Notamacropus eugenii: one gene and its partners. The main gene of each other region encodes a partner of the protein of the gene in region 3 in a complex. Links are inferred from orthologs where the notes say so. Each region holds a gene or a part of one and is shown on either strand. Other genes may lie near its edges. The genes, in order: STX7, STX18, VTI1B and BET1L.

Region 1 (7,442 bases), on a different chromosome or scaffold from region 3:
CTTAACCCTGTCTGCCTCAATTCCTCATCTGCAAAATAAGCTGGAGAAGGAAATGGCAAACCACTCCAGTATCTCTGCCAAGCCAAGCCTAAAATAAGGTCATAGAGAGTCAGACACATCTGAAACGACTCAATGACAACACAGAAGAACCAGAATTTAAGAATGCCTTCAAGGACCAAACTCTCTCATTTGATGAATTTGGTTCTGATAGTTAGAACATGTTTTATTTCTTCTGTTATTTGAAAAAGCTTTAGAATGCTATTATCAGAACACTGATAATAAAGACAGACAGAAAGCATGAAGTATAATGTAGAAATACTTAAGTCTTATCAAATTTCAAGTGCCTTTTAAAAAAAGCATCAATTGCATCTGGTCTAGAAGGACCTGAACACTAGAAGGTGTTTATTATGGTTGTTACTGTGGTGGTCTGGTGTAGTAGTTAGACCTGGGTTCAAGTCTTGCCTCTGATGTACACACCCTGAACGATTCATTTAATCTATCACCGTTCTAGGCAACTCTCTAAAACTACAAATTTCAGGGAACGTGCTAATATGCATTGGTAGAAGCAGTTTCCACATGTGGGAGTTCTCTATGTCAATGAAATGGCAGGTTCAATACCTATCCCTTATTGTTATTATTCCGTAACAATATGTAGTCGACAAACTTGTTCCCCAGTATAGAAAGTATCATAGACTATTTGGAGATTCTCTCTCTAGAGCTTTTTTTTTTTTTTTAAAAACATCTGCTTCACTTCAGAGCTCTTCTAGCCCATCCAAAATCTCTTCAATCTCAGCTTACATTACCATAAAGATTTTTCATGTTCACCACAACTTTCACCACAACAAGCACCCAAATTTGGGATCAATTAGAATTCCATATTTAAGTTCATTCTTACTTTATTCACACCTGTATTACTTGTGTGCACCAAATATTTGGAACTTAGAGAAAACTAGTGACTAGAATTTAGAGGATTTGTGTCATGAGGAGTAAAGTAAAGTGACCAGAGGGGAGAAAAAAACAAAGATGGGACAGAGTGTTAGTGAGTTAATATGGTCTCTTATTAACTGATGTGGAAACTAAGAATCCAGAACATAATCCTGCAGTCACAAGTTTGAAGCAACCTGCTACTGCTGCTCATTCCATATCACAAGACTTAAGTCAGAACCATTATCAATCTTTGCACAGGTGTGGCACAGGCTAGTCCAGAAGGGCTGCCTGCTAAGCTATCAGGACTTTACCAAGCTGAGAAGTATTTCACAAAACTGGAAAAAAAATGATTTGCTTGAGTCCACACATAGGCAGGAAGTTGTTCTGAACAAGCATAGCTGGAATATATTGGAGGCAGTGCAAACAACGTCAACCTCAATACATTTAAGATAACTACTCAATTTAAAATAACTTGAAAGGTTAAAAAAAATGTGATGTAACCCAGGCAATGCATTTTTTTATTTACGGGAAATGTAAGAAAAAAAGTGACTAGGAAGAACATGGACTCTGCTTTGTTTCAAAAACTCATAATAATCAACTTTTTAAAAAAGTAACTGAAAATTAAAAATTTTAACCAAAGTCAACAAAAGAACTTAACCGAACGTGTGACTTCCTGACAATACAAATTATGGTTCATTTATTTCAGTACAGTAGTCTATTTTTTTCAGTTCCTGAATGATACTTGGAGACTTGTTTATTAAACACAAGTTGAAAAGAGGAAGAGGTCAACTCCATCCCTCAGGGGCACAATTATGAATTTCTCGTCAGCTAGCTCCGCCAGGGTTTGTGGCAATGTTTCCCAGCAGAACTTTTAATCAGGGGACGGAACACCACGAGCTGTTTCCCTATCTCCTGACTTCACGTGTGCAGTGGTCTTTGTGCATGGTGCTCATGCCCGGATGAGCAAAGAAAGAGAAGCCTTGGGAGGGCTCAGGCAGAGGGACAGGAGTGTTACACCAAGTCACATTCCCCTGGTGCCCGCATGGGCACTGGCTTTACTCTCCAGTGCCCTCTCAGCAACAGGTTCAGGTGGCAGCGCTTTGGGAATACAGAGGCGACAGGGACCGCAGGAGCACAGGCAGAGACCGGGGAACACAACTGGGGCGGGCGCCGGCTCACCCCGGGAGGGAGAGGCCAGTCGGCCGTCCCGGGGCCAGCTGGGCTGGGCGGGAATGCGGAACTAGCCCCCCATCCCCCATCCCCCCGGCCTTCTGTCAGGTCCGGAAAAAACGCCCGTCAGCCCCGAGGCAGCTAGAAACTGCTCAGGCCTCCTCCGCCCCGGCCCCCGCCAAGGGGGAAGGGAGGCGGGGACAAGCAGCGCCCGGTCCGTGGCTGCGACTCCCGCGGCACAGGCCGCCCTGTCCAGGAGCTGCGGCAAAACCCAGGGCGGCGGCCAACGGACAGCGCCTTACACCCCGCCGGAGGAAGGCTGCGGAGACCCCGCAGGCGGCGGGCAGGCCGCAAGGGCAGCGGCGCCGCTCCGCGGGCGCCAGACGGCCCAGGGGCCCCAGACGTCCTCTTACCGAGACCTCCACCTTCTCCTCCTCCTCCACCGACGGCCACCCCTAAGCGTCCCGGAAGGCACCCGGCTGAATTTCTCAGCTGATGGGCGGTGGTTCGCAGCAGCCGCCTCCCTGCTGCGCTGGCCCGGCCGCAGAGCCCAGGAAAGGGGGCGGGCCCCGAGCTCTCTCATTGGCCCCGAGGGCTGAGTGACACGCACCCTTTCCTGCCCGCCCCGCCCTTTTTTCTGCGCGAAGCAGGGAGTCGGCGAGCAGACGTAGCTGAGCCCTTCGGTAGGTGTGTACTGTCAGGAGCCAGCTTACCTGTCCGTCTCCTTTACCGGGAAGAAAGCCGCCGCCGCCCTCTGCGGACGCAGAAGATCCCAACCTGTTGGTGTGAAGCATGGGCATGATTAAATTGCATTTCATTGCCAAAAGAATCCCTTTTCCACGGACCCCTTGGCAGTTATGGCAATGAACGTGTCCGGAACTTCCATTCCGACTCACCCTTAGGTAGGAAGCGCGCTCTGGGGCTCAGGGTGGAGTCAGAGCCCGCCCTTTCTGCCCAGTTTTCTCCGCCTAGAAATGGGAAGAGAGAGACGATTATTGCTTTTGACTTTGTGCTGACGGAGACAAAGATGTCACAGTTTTGGCCTGAAAATGGAGACAAAGATGTCACAGTTTGGGCTTGAAAATGTAAAGGCGCAGAAGAAAAGTAACATCCAGAGTGTGATGGCGGTCAGATAGCCAAGAAGCGTTTGTTGTGCTAAATGCTAGGGACACAAAATAGGGGACCCCCCCAAAAAGAGTTCCTGATCTCTAAAAGCTCAGTCTAAGATAACGGGGAAGGGGGAAGACAACATGTAAATAAGTAGACAAAATAACTAGGTCAATTTAAGATATATAAATAAACAGATAGACTGTATGGATCTCTATATGTGTATATACAGACTATCTGTATACATCTTATATTCACCTAGATTACATATGTGGATAGATATGTGTATTTACCTACATTACTGATGCTGATAGTGGACCCCTCTTCCAACATCATATTTTCCCTTGCCTCAAAACACTATCCCTGACAATTTTTTACCCCAGCCTAGCAATAACTCATCAGCGGGCCCCAGTAAGACAAACTATGTTTCTCCCTTCCAAGAACAATCTGACCTTTGTAGAATTTCTCTTGTAAAAACAAGACTCTCTTGTACCAGCAGAATCATCATGTATTGTTTCCCAAAGTTATAGTATACAACCCAGAAGTCAAACTATAGATATCAACTCTCAAAGCTATCTTGCTGCAGAGGGACCAAAAAAACACAGATGAGAAACCCCTTCCTTCCCCTGACTTCCAGTAGTGAATGAGGCCTGTGTGTTATATGTTATCACCTAATTAGCATATCTGCCAGATAATCTACTACATTTCCTATAAAAGTTTAGCATCATTCCTGTTTAAGTTGCAAGTTTCTTAAGGAGCTCTGTCAGTCATATTTGCATTACAATAAACTTTTGCAATCTTGATTTAAAGATTACCCAAGTTCCTGAATTAATTTCAGACAACCCTCTTCTGTACTTCAGTCCTTAAAGGGTCCCTGAACCTCTCAAACCACATCATTAAAACACATATATTTACAGATAAGTCTATTTATAGTATCATATTTCCATATATTACACATGAATATATATTTACGCATATATAATCTGGAAGGGTACTCTGTGTTATCATTTGGGAGTAATAGGCAAAGCCATCCTGTAGAAAGCAGAATTTAAAATGAGTCTTAGGGATTCATTTTTGAGGTGAAGATAGGAGTGAGAGGACAGAGCATTCCAGGCATGGGGGAGAACCAGTGCAAAGGTATGGAGATGAAAAACAGAATATGCTACTTGAGGGTATGTAGTAGTAATGGTAATTTAAGGTTAATAGTAGGTGGAGGGAAGAGTTAAAGATCTTCACTACCTGCCCATTGATAAGCCTCAATACCTTTTGTTAATTTCTACTGAGACACTGGTTCAGAGGGTCCTGCCCTCTAGCTCTGAAAAGTGTATAAATACTCTGAGATGAAGTTTTGTTTTGGGGCTTAGTTTTTGAAGGAAGGTTTGTGTGCCATATAAGACTCTGGTAAGCCACTAAGGAGTCTGCTGGCTTTGAAAACCCACATATTGGTGCTTCTCTCTCTTCTAACTATGCATAGATGGTCAGACAGTTGGATCTGTCTGTTGATCTTTATTTCTCTGTTTGTATTTTCTCTGAAGTTCAGGGTGCTGACTTTTCCCCCTAAACCAAGTGAATGATGTATATGCTTTGATTAAAGTAGGTTGTTGACCCTTTAAAAGTTACTTTCCTTTTAGAAAAACAGATCTAAGAACCTATATAGCAGGCCTTCCTATGTATGCTGGGGTCCTTGCTGTTACAATATTAGCCCAGTATAACTGGGGCAAGAATGAATGGAGGAGAGTAAAATGTCAGAAGACTAAAAAGGTATAAAGGGCTTTAAATGCCTGGAGAAAGGCAAGTCTTTCTAATCCTAATGTGAAATTACTGTAAAGTCAGAAAAACCAGACAAACTTTTGTTGTGTTTGAGAAATGCTGTCTGACATGGAAAGATAATAGATGCTTTGCTCAAAGTAAATAAAATGTAGATGGTGGATGAGAAGGTCAACTTGGAAAGGTTACAGGGGTGAGGTCATTGTTTGGACTCATTGTGCTGGCTAGAAAAATATTTTGATTGAATTTTTCCTTGGAAGGTAAGACTCACATCTTATTGTGACCACTGATCAACAAAGGGAGCAACAAGAAATACAATTTTCTGTATGGTACTAGACCCTCTCACCCTAAAGCACATATAATGAGCTTAAGCAAAATTAATTAATTAGAACAAACAAATCCATCATGAAGACTTGTACTAACACCTACTGTAGAAAATGAAATAGATGAGGTGGGAATATACATATGAACACAAATACATACATATAGTATTATGCATGAAGATGAAGTGGGGAAGAGGGAGAGAGACAGATTACTTTGTGTCAATAATGAATCTATCTATGAAATGAATCTCTGACTTCAAGACAAAAGTGGGTATAAGGAGAATGGTAAGATTAGATAGAGAATATGGTACAATAATAAGAAACCAAAAGGCACAGAGGCTTATAGACTATTCAGAAGTTTCATGCTCATATGCTAGTAACTTATAAAGAAGTTAGAGGAATTTTTTTTGATGATCACCTTTTAAAGGCCAATGAGGTGCCTTCCAACTCTCAAGTTCTGTAATTCTATGAAACTGACTGTGTCTTAACAGAAAGGAAGTGAGTGGTCTTTATCACATATTTGTTTTAGAAATATCTGTTTCCTTTAGAACAGCTATTCTCAAAGTATGATCTGAGAATTCCTGTAGGTCCTAGAGAGACCCTTTCAAGTGGTTTGCAAGGTCAAAGTTATTTTCACAATAATACTAAGATGTTATTTGCTTTTTTCACTATCCTTTCACAATTGTATAGTGCAGTTTTCCACTGATATGTGAAATGAAGATTTGGCTGCAATAATGAAGATATCTCATCTACAGAATTGTATTTGGACAAATGTATGAACATGGTTAAACCTGATGTTTTGCTTGTATTCCAGCAAATCACTGAAGAACTTTATGTGAATTCTTGGCAACAAACACAAATGGTGCTGAAATACACAAAGTGTTGAATAACTTTTTTGAATCTCATGGCTTATCCTGGAGCAACTGTGTTGACTTTTGTGCTGATGTTACAAAATTCTAGATAAAACTCCTAGTGCCACAGCACAAATCAAGGGATGGACTCTAAACTTTACCAGTAGTCATTGTATTCATCATCCCCATTCACCTGCAATGAAAAAAAAAGTTTAACTTAAGAATGTCCTTGATGAAGTAATAGAAAATATTAATTTTATTAAATCTCAACATTTCAGTAATGTCTTTTTAGTATTCTGTGTGACAAAATGGGAAGTATATATATAAACCATTTCTGCTGCATGCTGAAGAGTGATGGTTGTCTCCAGGAAGACTACTTGTGCAATCATGTGAGTTGCCAGATGAACAAGCACTTTTTTTCATAGATCACCATTTTTACTTGAATGAAATAAGACACACTATTGTTATTCAGACTTGGATACATGGTAGTTTTTTTTTTTTCCAGAAATAAGTGCAATGGTCTGCTTACTTCAAGGAAAACAATTGATAGAATTTGTTGCTAAAGACAAAATTTAAAATGTCAACAAAAATAGAATTTTGGAAAATGTGTGTCTACCAAAAATGAGTTTGAAAGTTTTCCAACACTTAAAGATTTTTCTGATGAGATTAGGGGTGATATAAATAAATATGATTTTACAATGTTGTATAATGAAATGCATCAACATTTGGAAGTTATGTATAATTTAGTGAACCAATATTTTCCAAATGATCAAAGCAGGATGCTATAAAACCATGAATGAGTAAAGGATCCATTCAAAGCACAATATGGAACAATGACTTTTAATATAGCAGTATAAAAACTTTATTGATAATGTTTTGGATTCATACCTTTGTCAATTACCACTACATTTGTAACAGTAACTGGTCAAGTTTTGATATAGCATCAAAGAAGATATTCACAATTATGAAATGCTTCAATCTTTTCTTTTTTTTAATATATAATTTATTTATTTTTCAATTCTCAACATTCACTTCCACAAGAATTTGAATTCAAAATTTTCACACCAACTCTCCCTACCCCCTACCTAGGACAGTATGCACCCCATCCACCCCTTCTTCCAGTCTGTCCTCTCTTCTTTTACCCACCCTTCTTCCATTCCCTTTCCCCTCTATTTTCCTGTAGGGCAAAATAGATTTCTATACTCCATTGCCTGTATATCTTAACTTCCAGTTGTATGCAATGTTTCTCTCTTTTCCAAACGTATCTGTGTGAGGCTGAATTCTCTTCAAACACTTC
Region 2 (7,893 bases), on a different chromosome or scaffold from region 3:
TATAAATATTTTGGTGTATGTGGGGACTTGTTTCTTATTATTAGGTTCATTGGGATATAAGTTCAGTAGTGGGGTCTCTGTTCCAAAGAGTATGTAGACATTTTAGTCCCTTTAGTCGCATAATTCCAAACTACTTTCCAAAATGGCTGTACCATCTCACAGCTCCACCAACAATGTATTAGTGTTCCTATTATTCCACAACCCCTCTAACATTGAGTACTGCCATATTTTGGTCATCTTTTCAAATCTGTGAAGTAAAACTACAAGCTTCCTTTGATTTACATGTCAATCAATCAATCAATCAACATTTATTAAGCATCTGCTATGCACCAGGCACTATGCTAAGCACAGGGATACAAAAAGAAGCAAGAGACAATCCCTGTCCTCAAGGAGCTTAAAATCTGATGAGGGAAACAACACGAAAACAAATATATAACAAGCTATGTACATGATAAATAGAAAATAATTCATAGTGAAAAGGTATAGAATTAAGAGGATTTAGAAAAGACTTCCTCTAGAAAGTAGAATTTTATTTAGGACTTAAAGGAAGTCAGGGAGGTCAGCAGTCTGAACAGTGGAAGGGAGTGTTCCAGGTACAAGGGAATGCCAGAGAGAATGCCTGGAGCTGAGAGATGGAGTGTCTCATTCATGGAACAGGCAGAGGCCATGTCACTGGGTTAAAGAGTATGTGTTGGGGAGTAAAATTTAAGAAGATTAGAAAGGTAGGACTAGGTTATGATGGACTTTAAATGTCAAACACAACAGAAATCTTTTACACAGAAAAGTTAATGCACTTGCGATACAAAGGGAAGTAAGCAAGAAAAAAGCTTTGTATCAAATTTCTCTGATAAGGATTTGGTATCCAAGATATATAAACAAAACTATATACATACATACACATACACATACAGAGGGAGTGTGTATATCATTTCCCTTCGTATGCTAGGTGCGCTCATTTTGTCTCTGCAATCTGGACAAAAGCCTTTAATTTTTATCTTTGTAACATCTCTCACATACATTCCCTTCTCTGACACTGCCACACCCTGGTGTAGGCCTTTATCGCCTAGACTATTACAAACAGCCTGTTGCTTGATCTCCCTGCCACAATTTTCTCCCCACTCCATTCCATCCTCAGCTGTCAAAGTGATCTTCCTAAAGCACAGGTCTGCCCATGTCACCCCAATCAATAAATTCCAATGGTTCCCTGTTACCCCTAGAATTAAATATAAAAAACTCCATGTACTCTGTGATGCAATGAAATTGGCTTCCTTGATATTTCTTCCATGTGACATCCCATCTCTCAACTCCTAATATTTTCACTGATTGACCCTCATACCTAGAAATGTTCTTCCTCATCTGTGCCTATTACCTTCCCTGAGACTTCAAGCCTCAAGCTAAAGTCCCACCTTTAGGAAAAGCCTTTACCAGTCCTCCTTAATCTTAGATCCTTTCCTTTGAGACTACCCTTAATTCATCCTGGATAAATCTCATCTGTACATAGTTTGTATATTTTCACTCCTACTAGAGTGTGAGTTAATCAAGAGCAGGGGGTGTTTGAACCCCCAATGCTCAGAACAGTGCCTAGTATATAGTAGGCACTTCATAAAACCTAGCTAACAGGCATTTATAAATTTACAAACAAGTAAATACATACATATTGGAGATACCTGTTTAAAAACATTTTAGTAAGGATGCACAATAAAAAAAACTGGAGGACATTTATCTGATTCAACCTGTTCCAGAGAGAATGAGCCTTCCAATATCCACAAATGTAAGCATCTAAGCCTCGGTTTTAAGACCTCCAGTGAAGAGGAAGCCCATTTCACCTTTCATTAGGATCACAGTACTATAAATTCCACTAGTGCTGGGGGGAGGAGGGGGTCCTCAGAAGCCATCCAGCCAAGGCTTCTCATTAAAGAAACTGAAGCCCACGTAAGCAAAGTTACTTACCAAGGTCACTGGGATGGCATGTGTCAGAGACAATATTTTAAAGAACTATATCCAAAGCCTGTCCCTCATCAACCTGTACTCATCCACCTAAGTTCTGACCTCTAGGCCAAGTCTAATCTCTTTCACAGGACAATCACTGGTACACTTGAAGAGGCCCATCCTATGTCTGCCTGGGGCAGGGACCCCACTCATCTCCCACCACCTTACGCTGATTCATATGATGTCAGGACCGGAAGGGGTTTGGGGATCATTCCCTGCAGTATCTAGGTGACACTGTGAGGAAGCCACTTGGCCTCTCTGTGCCTCACTTTCCCCATCTGTGAAATGGGGATAACGTACAGCACCCACCTCCCAGGGTGGTTGTGAGATAAAAGGAAACACACGTAAAATGCTTTGCAAATCTTGAAGCAGGATATAAAGGCTGAGGAGTTGCGGTTACTAACAACTAACATTTCTACGGCACCTTATGGCTGTGCCAATACGGTGCCACCCTCCTCTTACAGACCAGACACCTGAGGCCCACAAAGGTCTCAAGCCATCCACGAACACGTAAAAAGCTAAGTGCCAGCCTTCGGGAGGGACCTCGGGGACCACCGGGTGCCGCCGCGTCCTTCCACAGACGGGGTACACTGAGTCTCGCGAGGTTTCACCGACTGACAGCGGGAGGAGACCAGAGGGAAGCCCAGGAGCCCCGCTACTCCACGCGGCTACCTTCCACGGCCGGGCCCCCTCCCCCTCCTCCGTTGCCCTGGCAACTCACTCACCACTTCCCGGGCCCGGCTGGAAAAGTCCCCTTTGGGGCGGGGGCTCCGGCGAAACAGCTCCTCCCGGGCGCCGTCCGAGCCGCCGCCGCCTCCGACGGCTACCCCCAGGGCCTTGTTCCGGGTCTTCACGGTCTTCACGCTGGCCCGGAACAGCAGGGTGATGTCCACCGCCATGGCGCCCCGACTTCGCAGCCACCGTGTCCGCCCGGCCCCGCCCACTACGGAGACAGAGGGGGCTCCGTCCCTCCGACCCTCCCCCCGGCAACCGCTGTCAGGCAACCGAGGTTCCGCGCCCGTCCCAGCCGCCGGAAGTAGCGGGCTACCTGCGCGCTCCCGGGAGGCGCTCTCCCCGCCCCTTTTCTCGGGAGCGCGCACGCCACGCCACGCCACGCCCCTCCTCTCCCCCCACCCCCCCCACCATCTCACGGGTGTCTGCGCTCCGGGCATCCGCTGGCCTGGGAATCCCGGGAGTGTAGAGGGGGTGGGAGGGAGCCGCGGGGCGTAGAGGCCGGCAAACTGAGGCCCGGAGAGGGTGCGTGACCAGGCGAGGTTCGGGTCCAGGGGGTCGGACTAGGCTCAGGGCCCCGGGCGCCAGATTAAACGGGAAGCCGCCTGAGGGCAGGCATGGAAGGCGCTTAATAAATGCTTGGACCCACCCCCTTCACGTTTTTAAATAATTAAAGCAAATGCTAAATTTCAGGGAGACTTTAGTGAAAATAAAAACGTCACCTTCCCCCCCATTGCTGGTCGTATATCCCTCTGAAATTTTACGGGTTTTTGAACCCCAGGTTAAGAGCCCTGATCTGGCCCAACCCCCCCTTTTTATTTTACAGATGGGGAAACTGAGGCCCAGGCTGACTGGTCCGCTGGTCCAGACCTGTGTTCTAAATCCACAGAGGTTGTGGAAGCTGCCTGAAGTCCTGCAGGAGATGGTTTATTCACGTCCGTGATCAGCCACCTGCCAAGGGTCCTGCCTTCAAGAACCTTACATTCTGAAGGGGTGAGCTGGAGTCGCCTTCACGCCTAGTTTAAGCTTTCTTTTTCTGATCAAGTTACGATTTGTGGCTCCCCGACTCATCGTGAGGACCTGAGAAATAGTGACGTGGTGGAATGTATAACAATAACCAAAATCCTAAATGTGGTTCTGAGCATCTGCCCCTTTTGGTGCCTTTTTCTCCACTCCCATCCCATCCCCTGTCATTGCAAAAAAACAAAAACAAAAAAAGGCTGAGGGCCATTTAATTTTTTTTATGCAGTTTCAGTGACCTAAGAATCCATCAACTAATAGCCAGGCTTCCATATTTAGCTAGATTGACCCTCCAGGAAACTACTAACTTATAATAACCAGCGTTTATAGAGCACTCTAAGGCTTGCGAAGCACCCACAACAATACTGTAAGGCAGGTGCTATTATGTCCATTTGACGGATGAGGAAACAGGCTGAGAGGTTAAATGTCTTGCCCAGGATCTCCTAAATGACTGAAACAGAACGGGATCTCAAGTCTTCCTGACTCCAGGTCAGCATCTTTCCACGGCCCCACCTAGCTGCGTTGTCTGCTTCACAGAAGTTACAGGAATTTGCAGTCCCCCGGAAATAGCCTTTGAGGCTCCAGAGTCTCTTCTACACTACAATGAATCACTGAAGTTCATCTGGGGAGGTCTGGTTCCACGGAATTTGGAACATTAGTAGATGCATTGTTGAATTCTGACCAATTCACTTAGTGTTATTCTGAAAAGAAATAAAGAAATGTAAAAAAAAGCAAGACTTTGGTATGTTAATTAGATGCTCATTCAACAATAACTTAACTGAGTACCTGTGCTGTGCAAAGTTTATTTTATTTTGTTTTTAGGAACTTGGGTTCACTTTGCTTAGGAATTCAGAAAATTGGTGACTTTTTTCTAGTTTGAGGTTTGGCTCAAGAGTGAGGTATCGCTGAAACATCCAGGGGTGGTGTGTTTCGTGACTTTCTAAAGCAAATCTAATAGAGGAATGAGTGTACATGTCAAGAACTTAACTGCTTAGAAATAGGAAAAACGTGAAAAACAACGGCAACTATGCATTTATGCCTCTGTGGTTCTGTTGTGACTGACTCTCTGAGACCCTATTTGGAGTTTCCTTCACAGAGATACTGGAGAGGTTTGCTATTTCCTTCTCTATCTCATTTTACAGATGAGGAACCTGAGGCAAACAATGGTAAGTGACTTGCCCAGGGTCACACAGTTGGCAAGTCTGAGGCCAGAGTTGAACTCAAGAAGAGTCTTCCTGACTCTACGTCAGGTACTTTAACCACTGCACCATTTGCCTCTGCCGTCACCCAACCTGTTTCTCAAACCAGAGTGAGTATCTCCAGTCTTCCAAATGTTCCATGCCAACTCCCTAGCCTAAAATGAAGACAAAAAAACTTCTCTTTTCTCACTCCACCTTCTTCAAGCTTCCTCCTCTCCATCTCCAACTCTTATTATCCCCATAATATTAGGCATATCCAGAGGTATGCAAATTTCCTCAAAGCATTCAAATTGGAAAGAGAGAGAGAAAAGGAAAATATATAAGTAACTGCTATAGCTAACTAGTTATGTGACCCTGAGCAAGTCTTTCAATCAATGTCTGCCTCAATTTCCTCCTCTGTAAAATGAGGATAATAACATTAAACTCCCTCCATTGGTGTGAAGAGCATGAGATAATATTTGAAAAGCTCTTAGCACAGTACCTGCCTGGCACATAGTAAGCATGTCCTTCCTATAGAATAGATATGTTTATTGCCTTTAAGGCACAAGCACATATAATTATAATTCCATACACTATCTGATGAGTGCATTGGAGATTTGCAAAGTGCAATGTGGATTTCAAGGGAGAAAGTCATTAATAATTAGAGATGGTGAGGATTTTGTGAAAGTACCAGTCTTGACTGATTTCCCTTTCTCTTAATTGTTCATTCCCCAAAGATCAATCTGTTCTTCATCTTGGATCCCTTTTGCCTGACTCCATAGGAAATCCGTATTGTCCCTTAGTCTCCTTGTCTTAGCTGAATATTGGCAGGTAGGGATTTCATATCAGGTACAAAATCAATACCTGGGAGATCTTCTTGAGGAATGATTTCAGATGTTGGAGAAGTGATCAACATTCAATGTCTATTCACCAACATTAGCAGCAAATATGCTAAACAAAGAAAGGAAAAAAATGGTTACATGGTAATTGCCACTTTAAAGTGAAAGTAGAGCACAATACACAAAACACATGTTTCTATGAGTGATTTGTTGAAGGATATATAGCACAACTGCCCAGGCTCAAAGATCATGGAGAAAGGGCTGCCTTAAATATTTTTCCCAGACCTTTGAAGAAATCTTCCCATCTTCACAGAAACAGGATGTCCCACATTTGCTGAGGTCAGGAACCATGATTTCGAGGCTGATCTTAAAGCATTTTATAAAATACTAACTATTAAATGATAATTGGCTAGGAATAATAATAATATATAGATAGCACATACTAGATGTCAGACACTGTGCTAAGTGCTTTACAATTATTGCCTCATGTGATCCTCACAATAACCCTGGAAGGGAGGTGTTATTATTACCCCCATTTTACATATGAGGAAACTGAGCGAAACAGCAGTTAAATGACTTGCCCAGGTTCACACAACTCATAACTCTAAGAGCTCAGATACGATCTCGGGTCCTCCTTGCTTCACAGGAGTTGGATGCACTGCCTTCTCACCCTTTCCTGCCTCAGCTATCACGTCTTTTTGTCACAGCCTGCAGTCACAGGGAGCAGACTATGAACTCTTATCACCTATGTTTTCAGCACTGAGCTACAGCACATGTTTCTTCCCACACATCCAAAAAATGCTTATTCAGGTAGATGAGAAATATGTCCAGTTTGGCACACCTGTTCTTTTCCATGATCATTTCTGTTACCCTGCCAATTTCTAGATCTTCCTTTTAAGTTAAGTGTGAGAGTTCATTTCACTAATAAATAAAATCATGTAAATAATAGTTTTAACCTGAGTTAACCAGGATAAGTCAAAACTCTGGGGAAACTGTTAATCCATTCAACAGGCATCCATTTATGGTACTGGAAGGAATAATGTAGAAAGTTCAAGTTCGCTTTCCCCTCATCCTTCATTCCCTTGGAATTTTTGTTCAACTTTTTCCTAATAATCTGCCCCAGGAGTTTCACAAGTCATCTTATAAAAAATCATCAACATGGCAGAAGCTAACTGCCTGATACAGAGTGGAAATTCCCCCTAGAAAACTTCTGCCTTGGTTTTTGGCATAATGCTTTGGTTTTCAATGCAAGTTTCCACCTTCTTTGCTTTTCACGGGGTCTTCTGTAATTAAGATGTCTGAGTCCTATATATTGAGTTGGACGTCAAGACACTGAAGAAAATACTTTAGCTTGAACTTTAAAGAATTTAATAGGAAAATACTTTTCCTACATCCTGTTTCAAGGGGAAAATGTGATTTTTAGAGGACATTTTATAGTTCACAACAGGATATTGAAGGGCATTTGGTTTTGCTTAGTTTGTTATGACTGTGTCTCCCCAAGCACAAAGTGGAGAATTCGTAATTATCTGGATTAATTCAATCAAGGTAAATAGTCATAGAATCACAGAGTTAGAAAGGGCATTCGAGAGCATCTAGTCCAACCTCCTTATTTTGCAGATGAGGAAACCAAGGGCCAAGGAAGTTTAGTGAATTGCACAATTTCACAAAATGTTAGTCGAAGAGCTGGAAGTCAAGTCTCTTGACTCCTCATTTAGTGCTCTTTCACAGTAAAATTGAGTCATTCTGATCATAAAACTGATCTGAGGATTCATGTTATACAGTTTAGGAAGGGAAAGGCAGAGGAGGGATAATTCAAAGGGTTATTTAACCATCTAAAAGTATCTGTAAGTAAGAGTAGTGGGAGAAATGATAATCAGTTTCGTGTGCATTAGGTTTTGTTTTATGACACCTTTGTAAGGAAAGATATTTTAAAAATTCTCCTTTAATTTTCTAGACAGAGCTTTAAGGTAAAAAAAAATCACATGTAATAATACAATTCAACAAATTACACTCAACAAACATTGATCAACTACCTACCATCAATAGGGCTGTGGGCTAAGCACTGAGAGATAAAGATGGAAAAGAGACAAAGGCTCTAGGATTTTATAGTAAAATAGGAGAGACCACAATACAAT
Region 3 (6,963 bases):
GGTAAGGATTATGAGGTGTATGTTTGTGGCACGGTACCTAATATTTCACACATATAGAAAAAATATTTTAAACAGCTAAGAAATGATCTCAGAGGCTAAGGAAAGGCCTAAAAGATAAAGAAGTAACTGACTGGACACAGTGCAATTTGAGTGGACACTACATTTATCTGAAAGACAGTTCTCCAAACCTGTCTCCTTCCTTCTTTGGCCATGATAAAGGACTAGGCAGAGAAGGTCAGGTTGAGAATGAAACAGATGCAATGTACTGAGTTTTCTGGTTTTCAAAGAAAGCTGTACTTATGCATCACATAGCACCAGGCTAGAAATCTCAAGCACTGCATGTTGCCACATGCACCTCTAAGCACAGAGAACATACTTCTTATCTCTAAAATGAATTCTCAAGTATTACTAGACTTTAGACGAAAGGTAAATCAAAAATGCATGCTGTTTTTCATTAATATTGTGGCTTATTTATGATCTCTTAAGTGAAAAGGAATACTATTTCCTCCTTAAAAACAGAAACACCTTGAACCCATAAGGATAAAAATTAGAAGGCCATACCTAAACCATCAGAGTTGAAAATCTATTCTATTTTTAAATATCCAGAAAAACAAGACATTCCTCAACTTCCCTTATTAACTTATCCCTAACTCTAATACCGTTTGACACAAATTCCCCATGTTTTGGCTTCAGCACAGTGCCTAAAGATTACTACTAATGGCATCTAACATTTACATAGGGCTTTGAGGTGTGCAAAGAGCTTAAGAAGTATTATTCTATCTGGTCAAGTTTCTTCAGTTGAATTAAACCAACTTTCTCTAATGCTGCTTCCAGTAAGGAACAGCTGAGATGGTGAGGAGAGCACATAGAAGACGGCTGACTTGACATAACTGAATCAGTTCAACAATGCAGGATACTTAGAAGAGTCTAAGAGGAGCTGTATCTGAAGTGAAGTTCCCAGAACTACAAAGCAGTTGAACTTTTGATACACTAGTACTGAAATAAGACTAGACAGGTGCCCTAAGTAAAAAGCAAAACTAGGGGAGAAGCACATCATCCCCAGCACTAGTCAGCGGCCCCACTAAGTAAGCAACACAAAGGAAGCTATGTTGGAAGGCACAGAGGAGGGAGGTGGCAGTGCCCTGTTGTCAGACCACACGGAATATTTCATTACTTTCCAGGCACCAGATTTTAGAAAGGACTTCAGTAAAGCAAACAGCTTCAGGAGGAGGGCAACCAGGAGAATGAAGGGTCCCATGCCCTTTAATGACACTGCTGCCTTCCCTCTGCAAGTATTTCCAATTTAACCTGTATATCTCCTTTGCTGTCAGAATGTCACCCCCACTAGACTGTAAGTTTCTTGAACACCTGGATTATTTTTTTGACTTTCTTTGTGTGCCTAGGGCTCAGCACAGTACTTGGTACATACCAAGCACAATAAAAGCTCAAAGACGTGACCTGACATATTTGAACTGGTGGAACAACGTAGGAATGTTTAGCTGGGAGAAGAGTGGAAAAGGAACTGGGATGCTGAAATGAGAGGAGGTAGTTTTGCTCGTTCCCACAGGGCAGAATGAAGAGGAATGGCCAAGAGGAAAATATAGGTTTGACTTAATGGAGGAAAAAAAGCTCCCCAACAGCTGTCCTTTGGTGAAATGGTGAGCCTCTGGCTGGTTCCCCAGTGGTAATGACTGTCCCCTCATTGGAGTCACCTCGGCATCTTGATGTCATGTTCCTCTTCGAGAACGAAGGACAAACACAACAACAAGACATCTTCAAGAAAAGGGTCGGGGGGTAGGTAGGTGGCCTACTATGCGCCAAACACGGGGTTAAGCCCGGGAAATGTCAGCTCCTGCTCCCCCAGACGTGGGTAAACTGAACACAACCAGCAGAAGGGGACAGAATTCAGAGGTACAGGGGAGAGCCTCCTGTTGTAGAAGGTGGGGTTTTAGATGAAATTTGAAGGAAATCGGGAGATGTCTACGAAGAGGGAGGGCACTCCAGGCATGGGGGACAAGCCAGAGGAAATGCCTGGAGTCTGGAGACGGCGGCGTCTGGACTTTTGGTTGTTTGTCTTGGTTTTTTTTTTTTTTTGGGGGGGGGGGATGACTTGGTCGGACTTGTGCTTTAATAAGATGGTTCTAGCAGCTGAGTGGTTAAGGACCTTGACGGCAGACATTATCTTCCCTTTTTATCCACTGTAATCCCAGCGTGCCTGGCACACAAAAGCGCTCCCAGAGGCACTTAGGAAACGACGACGGGTTAGCCTGGAGTTGGGGAGCCTCGGTGCCCCCCAAGAGCTTTCCTCGCAACTTTGCGATGGAAGCCCCAGGAGGAATGGAGAAATTTAAGAGAACGGGGGCGGGGGTCCCTGGCACCTCGGGATCCCCGGACACCAGCCCCCCTGGCCCAGAGGACTCACCGGTCCCCCCGGTTCCCAGGAGCCTGTCGGGGACCCCGCGCAGCTCATCGTACAGCCCGCGGAAGATCTCGTGCAACTTCTCGAAAGGCTCTGAGGACACAGCAGCCGCCATGGCGTAGGGCGAGCTTCCCCGACACCGGCAGGGCCGAGGTCCCGGGCCGAGGGGCCCGCTTCTAGCCCAGCGTCGGGCTCAACCGCCGTATTAGCGACTCCATGGCCCCCAGCTAGTTCGACCGTCGCCACAGCGGAAGGCTAGGCGCTTCCGGGAGACTGAAGCAGCGGGGTCCTTTAGAGCCGGAAATCGCTCCACGAGGTCCCACCTTGCCACCCACCGGGGGCAATCCAAGATATGCCTGATGAGAAACCTAAAACATTTCCGCGTAAGGCAGGGAGAAGCCGAAGCCACCCTATCTCTCTTCTCTCGTCCATGAGCCGTGCTGTGATTTGGGCGCCAGACTGGAGACGACTAAGCTGTCACAAGTGGGTGAGCGAGAGTTAAGAGTCACCCGTTGCACTAGGCGATAATGGAAGAGAGAAAAAAAAAAACAGGGCCGTAGGAAAGCTGTGGTTTCGCGGTGCATTGAGGGAGTTGTAGTTCGACGTAAGCGACTCGTGACAGTCCCGGTGATAAGGCGACATGCTTCCCCAAGACGCGATCGGATTGTGCGTCATCACGCATAGTCACGTGCCAGTCCACTGAGACTATCTGCTTCTCTCTTTTTTTTTTTCTCCAGCTAAGACTGGTTTATTAACTCTGAAGGCTTGATGCTTCCTCTTTTACAGGTCGGGCAACTGAGTCCCGGAGAGGATTTACACATAGCAGCCAAGGTGATTTTCCTAATCCTAGCAAGTTTTTATTTTTTAAACTTTATTGATATTTTGTTTAAAATTATAGATTATTCCCGCGTCGTTACGAGGTCTCTTAAAACAGGTACAACTCAATACAGGGACCTCGTCTGAAAGTGCAGGCGCCATATTTTTTTTTACTTGGTTTCTCTTGGGCTTTCTTGGTCTGCATTTTCTTTTGCAACATGTCTAATATGAAAATGTTTTGCCTGACTGCACCTGTATGATCAATATCAAATTGCTTGCCTTCGAGGGGGGGGAAGGAGGTGGAACTCCAAATTTTTTAAAAGAATGTTAAAAATTTTTGTTTGACATATAATTGAGGGGAAAAAATAAAAAATAGATTAAAATGTAATTGAGAAATATTTAACAATAAATTTAAAATCCACAAAAAAGAGGTAAAAAATAAAAAATAAATTAAAATGTAATTGAGAAATATTTAACAAAATAAATTTAAAATCCACAAAAAAAAAGTGCATGCAACACACCAAAAAAATCAGAAATTAACAGAATTAGGCGGATCAGGTATACTGGAATGAAGAAACATGAGAAGACACTCCTGTGGGAGGTCCAGGGGTGTTACACGTTGCACATGCTTTCTGATTTTTTCAGCATGTCAATCAGTGGTACTGATCTTTCTTCCAAAAAAAAAAAAATAACAAACTGCACCTATTTGTTACACAAAAGATGGCTCTCTGGGAAGGGGAGGGAAAAAGGATATGAGGGAGAGATATGTAAGGAAAAGAAAACATCAATAAAAATTTTTTTTTCACAGTAATCTATTTTCTCTCCCATTTTAAAAAAAGATTAAAAAAGGAAAGTTTTTGTAACAATTATACATTGTCAGTTATAAACAATTATAAATTTCTCTATTGACTATATCAAATTGTCTCCTCATCATCTCTCTAATAGTATATTTCATTGTCCCTCTTCTGCAGTTATGAAGTGTCATTGTATTAATCACAGTTCTTACAGCTTTCAAAGTTGTTTTTACAGTGTTTTTGTCTAGAATTATTGTGCTTCTGCTCATTTAATTTTTTAGTAGTTTATAAGAGCCTTCAAAATTGTTCATTTTGATCATATTGATGTTGTAGTATAAACTGTTCTTTTACGTCTTAATTGAGAGAAGGTTTTCACTTGTTTTTCCGTTGTGTCTGACTCTTTGGAGTTTTCTTAGCAAAGATGGTTCACCATTTCTTTCTCCAGCTTATTTTATAGATGAGAAAACTGAGGTAAATAGGGTGAAGGAACTTGCCCAAAGTCACGCAGCTAGGAATTTTCTGAGGCCAGATTTGAGCTCAGGAAGATGCTTTCCTGACTCCAGGCCCAGTGCACTATCCATTGTACCACCTAGTTCAGTATTCACTAAACTACTGTGGCTCCCTTTTATCTCCAAGATCAAATATAAATCTCTTTATTGTCATTTAAAGCCTTTCACAGCCTGACCCTTTCCTACCCTTCTAGCCTTCTTACACAGTTACTCCTCACCACCATCCATCCATACACTGGCCTACTGGCTGTTCCTTGATTGGGGCCCTGCCTGAAGGCTTCTCTGGACCTTCCTAGCTTGAGAGTGATTATCAATAGTAACTGTTGCTGTTTCCCATCCTGCCTGATGGCTTTCTTTTTCTTAACCTCATTAAAGGAGCCATGCCCTGGCTACTTCTTAAACAGACCTATTCAATGAATGGGAGTTGCCTCACCCTAAGTAAGTACCTGCAAAGACCTTGGCCTAAAGGTCTCCCATTGCATCTTGGGCCATCTCCAGTCATCCTGATGAATATCTGGTCACTGGATTCAGATGACTCTGGAGGAGAAGTGAGGCTGGTGACCTGCACAGCCCTCCCACACTCAAAACAAAGTCAAGTGCAAGTCATGTCATTATTTTTCTGATGGTATGATGTTCCTCAGCAGTGAAGGATGGACACAAAATGCCATTCCCTATTCCAACTCCATTCCTTTACATGAAGTTCCCTTCTAACTTCTGCTTCCTGGCTTCCTTCAAGTCTTGACTTAAATTCCATCTTCTGTAAGAAATCTTTTGCAGATACTTTGGGTTCTCTCCTGTATGTCTCAAAGGGATTGTGTATTGTTTTGTGCTTACAGGACCTCCCTTTGTACACAGTGCTGATTCCCAAGCCAAATCCCAAATTACAAGTAGGACTGCGAAAGGTGTTGAGGAGGGTCAAAAATTTTGAATTTTTTCCCAATTAAAAGTGACTGATCAGGAGTCATTTTCCAATCTATAGTAATACAATTTGGTTTTTGTTTAAGTTTGCCTTACTGATTGCAAACAGAATCACATAAGTCCTGGATGTTTGACCCCCTCACCCACTAGGGGCATCCCTTCTCCCAAGAACAAAGGGACATGTGCACCTATTCAGCAGTTGGTTCAGTTAAAGGCATAGCTGGCATGTTAGATCAGACACATAAATATTAGACTCTCCTGTTCTCCCAACCCCAAGGGCATAAAACTGGGCATAAAATGAAAACAGCAAATACATAGTTCATTCTTGAGGATTAGTGACATCAGGAAGGTGATGCCATGACTTGCAAGAGAATTGGAATTAAGTGAGGGAAGGCTGTGCAAAGTCAACAGCTTCACTCTCTCCTCCAGAACCATTCGGGTCCATTGGCAAGATATAGATCCGCACATATGGAGATGGCCAGAGATGTAGTGGGAGACCTTGGCTTTTTTAAGCTAAGGTCTTAGGTCTGTTTGTCTGAGGCAACACCCATACAGTGCTTAAGGATAGGTGGTGTTGTTTGTCCTTTGTTGACCAATAATAACATCAGGAAGGTGATGTCATGACTTGCAAGGGAATTGGATTTACTATGTGGAGTACCACCTCTGTCTCTAGTAGATAACAGGTGAAGGATTAGGTCCTAATTATTGGGTGAAACAAATAAGCCTTCAAAAAACAGTCATTGGTGTTGGGATCCTTTTCCAGGTTAACTGAGTCCATGAAGTCAATCAGGAATTTCTTCCTTTGCTGCTCAGAGGTCAGTCATGGCAGACTGATGTATTCAGGTCTTCCATTTATTAATCTTGGTGGCAGTATAACTGGTCAGCAGAATATGATAAAATCCCTACTGAATGACTCACTTGGTCTCTGTATACCACAACATACCTGTAGCCCATAGGCTTTGGCAGTTCAGCCTGCAGATTTTCTATTGGTACAGCCCATCACCTTCCCCCATTTTGTCACAGTTTTCTTCTTTGAGGAGTTAAACTGTTGACAAGAAAGGGAGCTAGAGACCATGAAATGGGTCTCTGCATTAAACACTGGGCAAACCATGACGTTACAACTTGCAGTTCAAAGTCCTTGGTTCCCAAATCATATCAATCCAAGCAGACAGGTAAAAGGTCCATTACACACATATGGCTAATAAAACAAGCAAAATTACAATAGGATGAATACAAAACCCAATATAGCTGTAGCTTAAAGAGTGTGAAGTCATTTGGCACCGACCATGATCTTCAGAAGTCTGATAAATACCTCTTGTACATCTCAAAGGGCTATGCATGGATCAAGCCAGGTTTGTGGAGGTATTTCCTCAACCATCTTCAGGTTCTAGGCACTTGTAGAGATTCTCTGGGTAATGCCTGCTAGTGATAAGACTTAATATAATTTTGTAAAATGTGACAAAATCTAATCAGATTGACCTTTAAGTAATTAGTTCCTTTGGTGAAA
Region 4 (5,517 bases), on a different chromosome or scaffold from region 3:
ATGGTGGTGCTCTGGATAGAGGATGGAAGGTTGGACAGAGGGGGATGGGTGGGGACAGTGGACCACATGCAAGTAGAGGTGTCCAGGGCACTTTGGGAATTGTCTGCATAAAGGTCACAAGCCTATGGGAGTTGATGAGGCCACCAGGTGAGAGAGGAGAGAGAGAAGGGCCAGGACAGATCCCCCCCACAGGTAGGGAGCAGGACCTGGGGGAGGATCCAGCCAAGGAGAAAGAGGAGGAGGAGCAGAAGAGAGGCCAGGTGGGTGGGAGGAGAGGGTCTGATCCAGGACAGTGAGGCAGGCGGGGCCAATTTGGATGATTCCTTGGTCTTTTTGGAGGGGGCAGTTTGAAGCCCAGGGGTGAAAGATACCAGATGTGGACAAGTTTTTCTAGGACTCTGGCTGAGGAAAGAGGAAGAAGTACTGGGGGTGGTGACCAGGGAGGGATTTTGTAGGCCCCTCACCTGCATTTCCCAACACATCCCCTTTCCCCCACCTACAATACAGGTATCATTCACAAGAAAGATCAGAAAACAGTTTAACAAAACAAGCTGACCTAGTGAGATCTTTTCAAAGATGGGAAACCTGGGTGTTTTTGCTGCCATTGGTGAAAGAGCCAGGAAACCCTGAGAGATTGGAGAAGAAGTAGGGGTGGGACTGAGTCCAGGAAGAAAGGCTGGCCTTGGGGAGTGGGGCAGAGGGCTCTGCATGAGTCCAGGGGTGTGAGGTGAAAGGAAAGGAAGGAACCAGCAGTAAATGGCCTTGGTCAAGTGAGAGGCTGAGGGAGAAGGGAAGACCTCGGAGGAACCTTCTTCTGCCCTTTTCACTGGGTTCACTACTTCCTGTCAACAAGCATTTATTAAGCACCTACAGTGTGCTAGCACTGTCTGGGGATACAAAGGAAGGCAAAGCCAGGCCCTGCCCTCAGGGAGCTCACATTCAGAAGGGGGAGTGACAGGTCAGTGACTAGGCATGTACAATATAGAGGGAAGGCTTCAGTGTTGGGAGATGGTGGGCATGGGGCCAGGAAAGGCCATAGGGATCCATGGGAGTTGTCAGGAAGAGTCCTTCCGTGGCTGATAGAGCCTGGGGGCAGAGGGTTTTCCCCAAAGCTGAGGGCTACCAAACCCTTTGGTCTTCCCTGTTTTTGACTTATCACCTTTTCCTCTCGAATACCCTGCCTTCCCTCTGTCTACCCAGTCTTTGTAACAAGTCAGCAGAGTCAAGCCAAACCAATTCCTCCCATGAGGGCAGAGACTTTGGTTTTGTCTCTTTTTTCTTTGTTTTTGTCTTACCCACAATTCAGTTAGGCCAGCTTTTATTAAGTGAGGGGAAATGAAGAATGTCCTCTTGAGCTGGGGAGTTCCCAGGCTTCCAGAGTAAGCTGGAAAGGAATGGAGGGAGGGAATGGCATTTGTACATTGGAAGGTACTTGAAGCCTCAGGGGAAGCCCCCCATCCCTGGGGGCAGAACCAGGAGCCCCTGGGAGGCTGCACACCCCATTCCTGGAGATCTCTGGAGACGTTCTGAGACATGTTGGATGAGATGATGCTGGCTGGGGGAGCAGTCTCTGTATAGCAAGCAGCTCCCAGGGCTTTGGGAGCCTCTGAAAGATGGCTGGGTGATGTGGGCTTTTGCCACTCTTTCAGGTGGAGCCTTTCGCTAGCCTGTCCCAAGCATCAAGAAGGTCTGTCCCTCGGGTGTTGATCAACAGAGAGCTGGTGGGACCGTTTGCCTGGCAGCCTCGTCATAATGATGTGGTCCAGCTGGGAGACATCATCAGCGGGGTGGAGATTCTGGTGAAGGCCCTGGGCTGGACGGAGGAGATAGAAGCCCTTCTCCAAAGAGAGACTGCCAAGGTAGGGGAGGCCTGGGAGGCTAGCATGGGAGCGTCTCAGCTTGCGTATGGCTGAGGCGCCCTCTCCTGGGGTGGTCTGAGGCAGAATAAAGAAGCATTAGAGATAGAGATAAGGGCTGATGTGTATGTGCGGCACCTCCTGTGTGCCCAGCACTGTGCCCAGCTGTTTACAGTGATCATCTTGTAACATTCCTGAGGAGGAGGGGCTGTTACGATCCCCATCTTACACATGAGGAAGCTGAGACACACAGCACAGAAGTGACTTCAGCTGGATTTGAACTGGGGACTCCCTGACTCCAGACTCCTCTAGTGTCCTTTAGTTGTCCCTAATATATCAGAAGCCTTGTTTTTATCTTTTTTTTTCACACTCTGGACTGTGAGGACTATTAGACTGACCTCTGTATTGGGGTCAGAATCCTGCAAGAAGTAGGCCCGATGCTGCTGGCTGTGGCTGTCCTGTGGAGGATGTGGTCGGCCAGCTGTTGTCACCTTCCCTGGGGATGCGCATGGGAAATGGACAGCCCTTGAGGAGGTGGGGAGGGTAGAATGAGGAAACCAAGGAGGTGTCCTGCACTGCTGGGGGCAGGGGAAGCTTCCTGGTCACTCAGGCTTGGAAGCACTGGGTCATGGGTGGGGGGTGGTGGTGGAGAGCCTGGTGCTTCCTGGTCACTCAGGCTCGGAAGCACTGGGTCATGGGTGGGGGGGGGTGGTGGAGAGCCTGGTGCCAGCCACAGCAGTGAAGCCATGAAGGGTTGAGGCTGGGAGGAGTGAACTGGAACACCGGTGCTTTCAGCAGTGTAGACTTGGGAAACTGTACTGGGAGCTAGGAGCCCTTAGTGAGGCAAGAAAAGGGGAGACAGATGTGACAGCCATCGCCCCCCATCTGACTCCTCTCTCTCCCCTTCCTTCCCTGACTCCTCCCCCCTTTCCCTTTCTCCTTTGTTACTTTCTCCCTCCCTTTCTCCTCTGTCCTCTCACCTTCCCTCTTTCTCTATCCTTTATCCCCTCTCTCCCTTCTCCCTCACTCTCCTATGTATCTTTTCTCTCTCCAAAGTGAACACGTGATCGTGTTCCCCATTTGAACTTGAAAGCAGTTCCCATGTTCCCCCCAGACTCTCTCCAGACAACAAATGCCTCTCTCACCAAGAGGTTAGTTAGGTGACATTCATGTGAGAGGGTGGACTCCCTTTGCTGTGGCATGGGCCCTGGGTATCTTCAGCATTCCCCAAGGGGCACAGCAGGTGCCAGACGGTGGGCAGTGGGGTGGGGGAGAGGTGGGAGGGCTAGAGTCCAGGCCTCAACCCTCATTTTCCTTCACAGGATGCTCTCTGAGAGGTGGTGGAGGTGGACCAGGACCCAGGGCAGGTCTGGTGCAGTGCCTGGGGCTGCCCCTTCTCAGCCCTGTGTCTGATCTCACCTCTTCCTTCACGCGAGCCATGAATTCAAGATCTCTTGTGGAAGCTTGGTCTCTCAAGAGTCAATAAACATTTATTAATCACCTACTAATTGCCAGGCACCCTGCCCTCAATCTGACAGGAAGACTGCACCCCCCCCCAAAAGCTTCTGAAAAGAATGTGTGGGGGGCATCCCCAAGGGCTGCAGCCAGGCCACGTCAGGGGGGATGGCAGGCTCGTTGCCCTCCTTCAGTGGGGCTCCAGTCGGATGCCCCGTTCCTGGAGGTGGCTTCCTCAGGAGCTGGACTCCGGGGGCCGCCGGGAGGACGTGAGTGACCAGGCTAAGCTGGGACTCGATCCTGCTGGAACAGAAGGTGCCCGGGCCCCCTAGGACAAGGCCGGACGGGCGCCGTCCCTTTGGTGCCCGCTGCGGGCAAGGCCAACGGGGCAGCAAAGGCGCACCGCCCCGAACGTCTCTGCCCGCCTGGCTCCACGTGCCCCCCGTGATGTGGCGGAGCGCGGCCACAGTAGGGGGCCTGGGGACGGCCAGGGGCGAGGCCCCAGCAAAGCGGTCAGACGGGCGTGGCTTCGTTACGCGGTCCCGCACACAGTGGGCCCTTCACACATGCGCACTGGATCTAACCGGACCCAGGGCCGGGCCTGACCGGGAACCTGACCCCCCCCGCCCCCCCCGCCTCGGAGCGCTCACGGCGCGGGCGGGGCCAGCGGCCCGGAAGCTCGGGGGCGGGCCCGGAAGGGGCGGGCCCGGCGTGCACGCACGCACGCGCGTCGCACTGCCTTCGGCTCCTGCGGCACCGGGAGGTGGCGGCCATGGCGAGCTGGGCGCGGGGTGAGGCGGGGGCGGCGCTGGGGGGAGGGGGCGCTGGGGGGAGGCGGCGCTGGGGGGAGGGGCGGGGGGCGGGGCCGAGGGCCCCCCTCGCTCCCTCCCCGACCCCCTTGATCCTTGTCCCCTCCCGCTCCGCGCAGGCCCAGGCCCGGGGGGCGGCGCCGTCGCGGACACGGACACGGACACGCTCCTGGACGGCGAGAACCAGCGCCTGACGGACGGGCTGGCGGCCAAGGTCACGCGCCTTAAGGCCGTGCGTGTCCGCGGGGCGGCGTGGGGCGGGCGGCCGCGGGGGTGGGGCGGGCTGAGGGGGTGGGCGTGGGGAGGGCCGGGGGAGGGGCAGCGCCGACTGAGCCCCGGCGCTGCCCCTCCCCCCAGCTGGCCTTGGACATGGACCGGGACGCGGAGGAGCAGAACCGCTACCTGGACGGCATGGTGAGGGGCGCGTGCGCGGGAGGAGGGCCGGGCCGGCGTGCGCGTGCCCGCGCGTGCCCGCGCGCGCCCCCGCCGGCCGCTCACCCCGCCCTCTGTGCCCCAGGACTCGGACTTCTCGAGCGTGACCAGCCTGCTGACCGGCAGCGTGAAGCGCTTCTCCGGCATGACCCGCTCGGGCCGGGACCACCGGCGGCTGCTCCTGGGCGTGGCCGTGGGGCTCGTCATCCTCTTCTTCTTCCTTTCCTACCTGTTGTCGAAAGCGCGGACCTGAGTGGGCCCGTGGAGCGCTTCCCGGACCCTATTTTTGTACCAGCCCCCTGCCCTCCTTGGCGAGAATAAAAGGGAAAAGCCATCCCAACCACGCGGTCCCAGGGCTCGCATCGCCCCACCTGTGCCCCCGTGGGCACGGCTGCCAGGCCTGCCGGGCCGGGCGTGGGGCCGGAGGCAGCCCTGGACTCGGGGACTTGGCGTCCAAGCGGCCACGCGTCTGGTTCTTAACTTTCGGACTGTGAATTTCAAGTTCTCTTCCCCAGCCCCGCCCCCACGGAGAAGGCCCGCAGCGTCTGCGTGAAGTCCCACGAAGCGTGAAATGGGAGGGCCCAGGAAGGAAGGGGAGGGAGAGCGGGCCCCAGGCCCGGGCTCCTAGGCAGGTCTTTGTTGTCTCTGGCGTTAGCACAGCTGACCGGGGATCCCAGATTTTCCCGCCATGCTGGCACCTTGTGGGCGGGGAGGTTGGCCTGAAGAATCTGAGGGTGCAGACGAGGAGAACCCATGTTAGCCCTAAGAGCAGCACGCGGAGGATGTGGGGAAAAGAGACTGGGGTCTCCCCAGTGTAGCCCGTGGGCCCCCAGAGAACAAACGAGCCTCTGCTCGTTCCGGGCCGCTCCCACGCGCAGAGATCGAACTGTGACTAGGGAGGGTTTCAGCGCTGCCCCGGGGCTGCGGGCTTGGGTGCGGACAGACGGCCGCCTCAGGAGGAGTCA

Evidence for each region.
Region 1: VTI1B (region 3) and STX7 share a complex: the UniProt entries of both Homo sapiens proteins name them as parts of the SNARE complex. The link is inferred for Notamacropus eugenii from reciprocal best matches to the Homo sapiens genes VTI1B and STX7.
Region 2: VTI1B (region 3) and STX18 share a complex: the UniProt entries of both Homo sapiens proteins name them as parts of the SNARE complex. The link is inferred for Notamacropus eugenii from reciprocal best matches to the Homo sapiens genes VTI1B and STX18.
Region 4: VTI1B (region 3) and BET1L share a complex: the UniProt entries of both Homo sapiens proteins name them as parts of the SNARE complex. The link is inferred for Notamacropus eugenii from reciprocal best matches to the Homo sapiens genes VTI1B and BET1L.

What each region holds. Positions count from the first base shown.
Region 1 is NC_092873.1:217,747,407-217,754,848, forward strand, and holds the start of STX7 (syntaxin-7), read right to left. Parts: upstream 3,016-7,442; 5' UTR 2,994-3,015; exon of another isoform or gene 2,875-2,993; 5' UTR 2,811-2,874; intron 2,630-2,810; exon of another isoform or gene 2,511-2,629; intron 1-2,510. UniProt on the Homo sapiens protein: May be involved in protein trafficking from the plasma membrane to the early endosome (EE) as well as in homotypic fusion of endocytic organelles. Mediates the endocytic trafficking from early endosomes to late endosomes and lysosomes.
Region 2 is NC_092877.1:61,755,685-61,763,577, reverse strand, and holds the start of STX18 (syntaxin-18), read right to left. Parts: upstream 3,001-7,893; 5' UTR 2,889-3,000; coding exon 2,715-2,888; intron 1-2,714. UniProt on the Homo sapiens protein: Syntaxin that may be involved in targeting and fusion of Golgi-derived retrograde transport vesicles with the ER.
Region 3 is NC_092872.1:312,456,934-312,463,896, reverse strand, and holds the start of VTI1B (vesicle transport through interaction with t-SNAREs homolog 1B), read right to left. Parts: upstream 3,002-6,963; 5' UTR 2,535-3,001; coding exon 2,423-2,534; intron 1-2,422. UniProt on the Homo sapiens protein: V-SNARE that mediates vesicle transport pathways through interactions with t-SNAREs on the target membrane. These interactions are proposed to mediate aspects of the specificity of vesicle trafficking and to promote fusion of the lipid bilayers.
Region 4 is NC_092873.1:28,167,673-28,173,189, forward strand, and holds BET1L (BET1-like protein), read left to right. Parts: upstream 1-3,967; 5' UTR 3,968-4,083; coding exon 4,084-4,102; intron 4,103-4,239; coding exon 4,240-4,352; intron 4,353-4,477; coding exon 4,478-4,534; intron 4,535-4,637; coding exon 4,638-4,805; 3' UTR 4,806-5,014; downstream 5,015-5,517. Other genes in the region: SIRT3 (NAD-dependent protein deacetylase sirtuin-3, mitochondrial), read left to right, coding at 1,650-1,859, 3,179-3,190. UniProt on the Homo sapiens protein: Vesicle SNARE required for targeting and fusion of retrograde transport vesicles with the Golgi complex. Required for the integrity of the Golgi complex.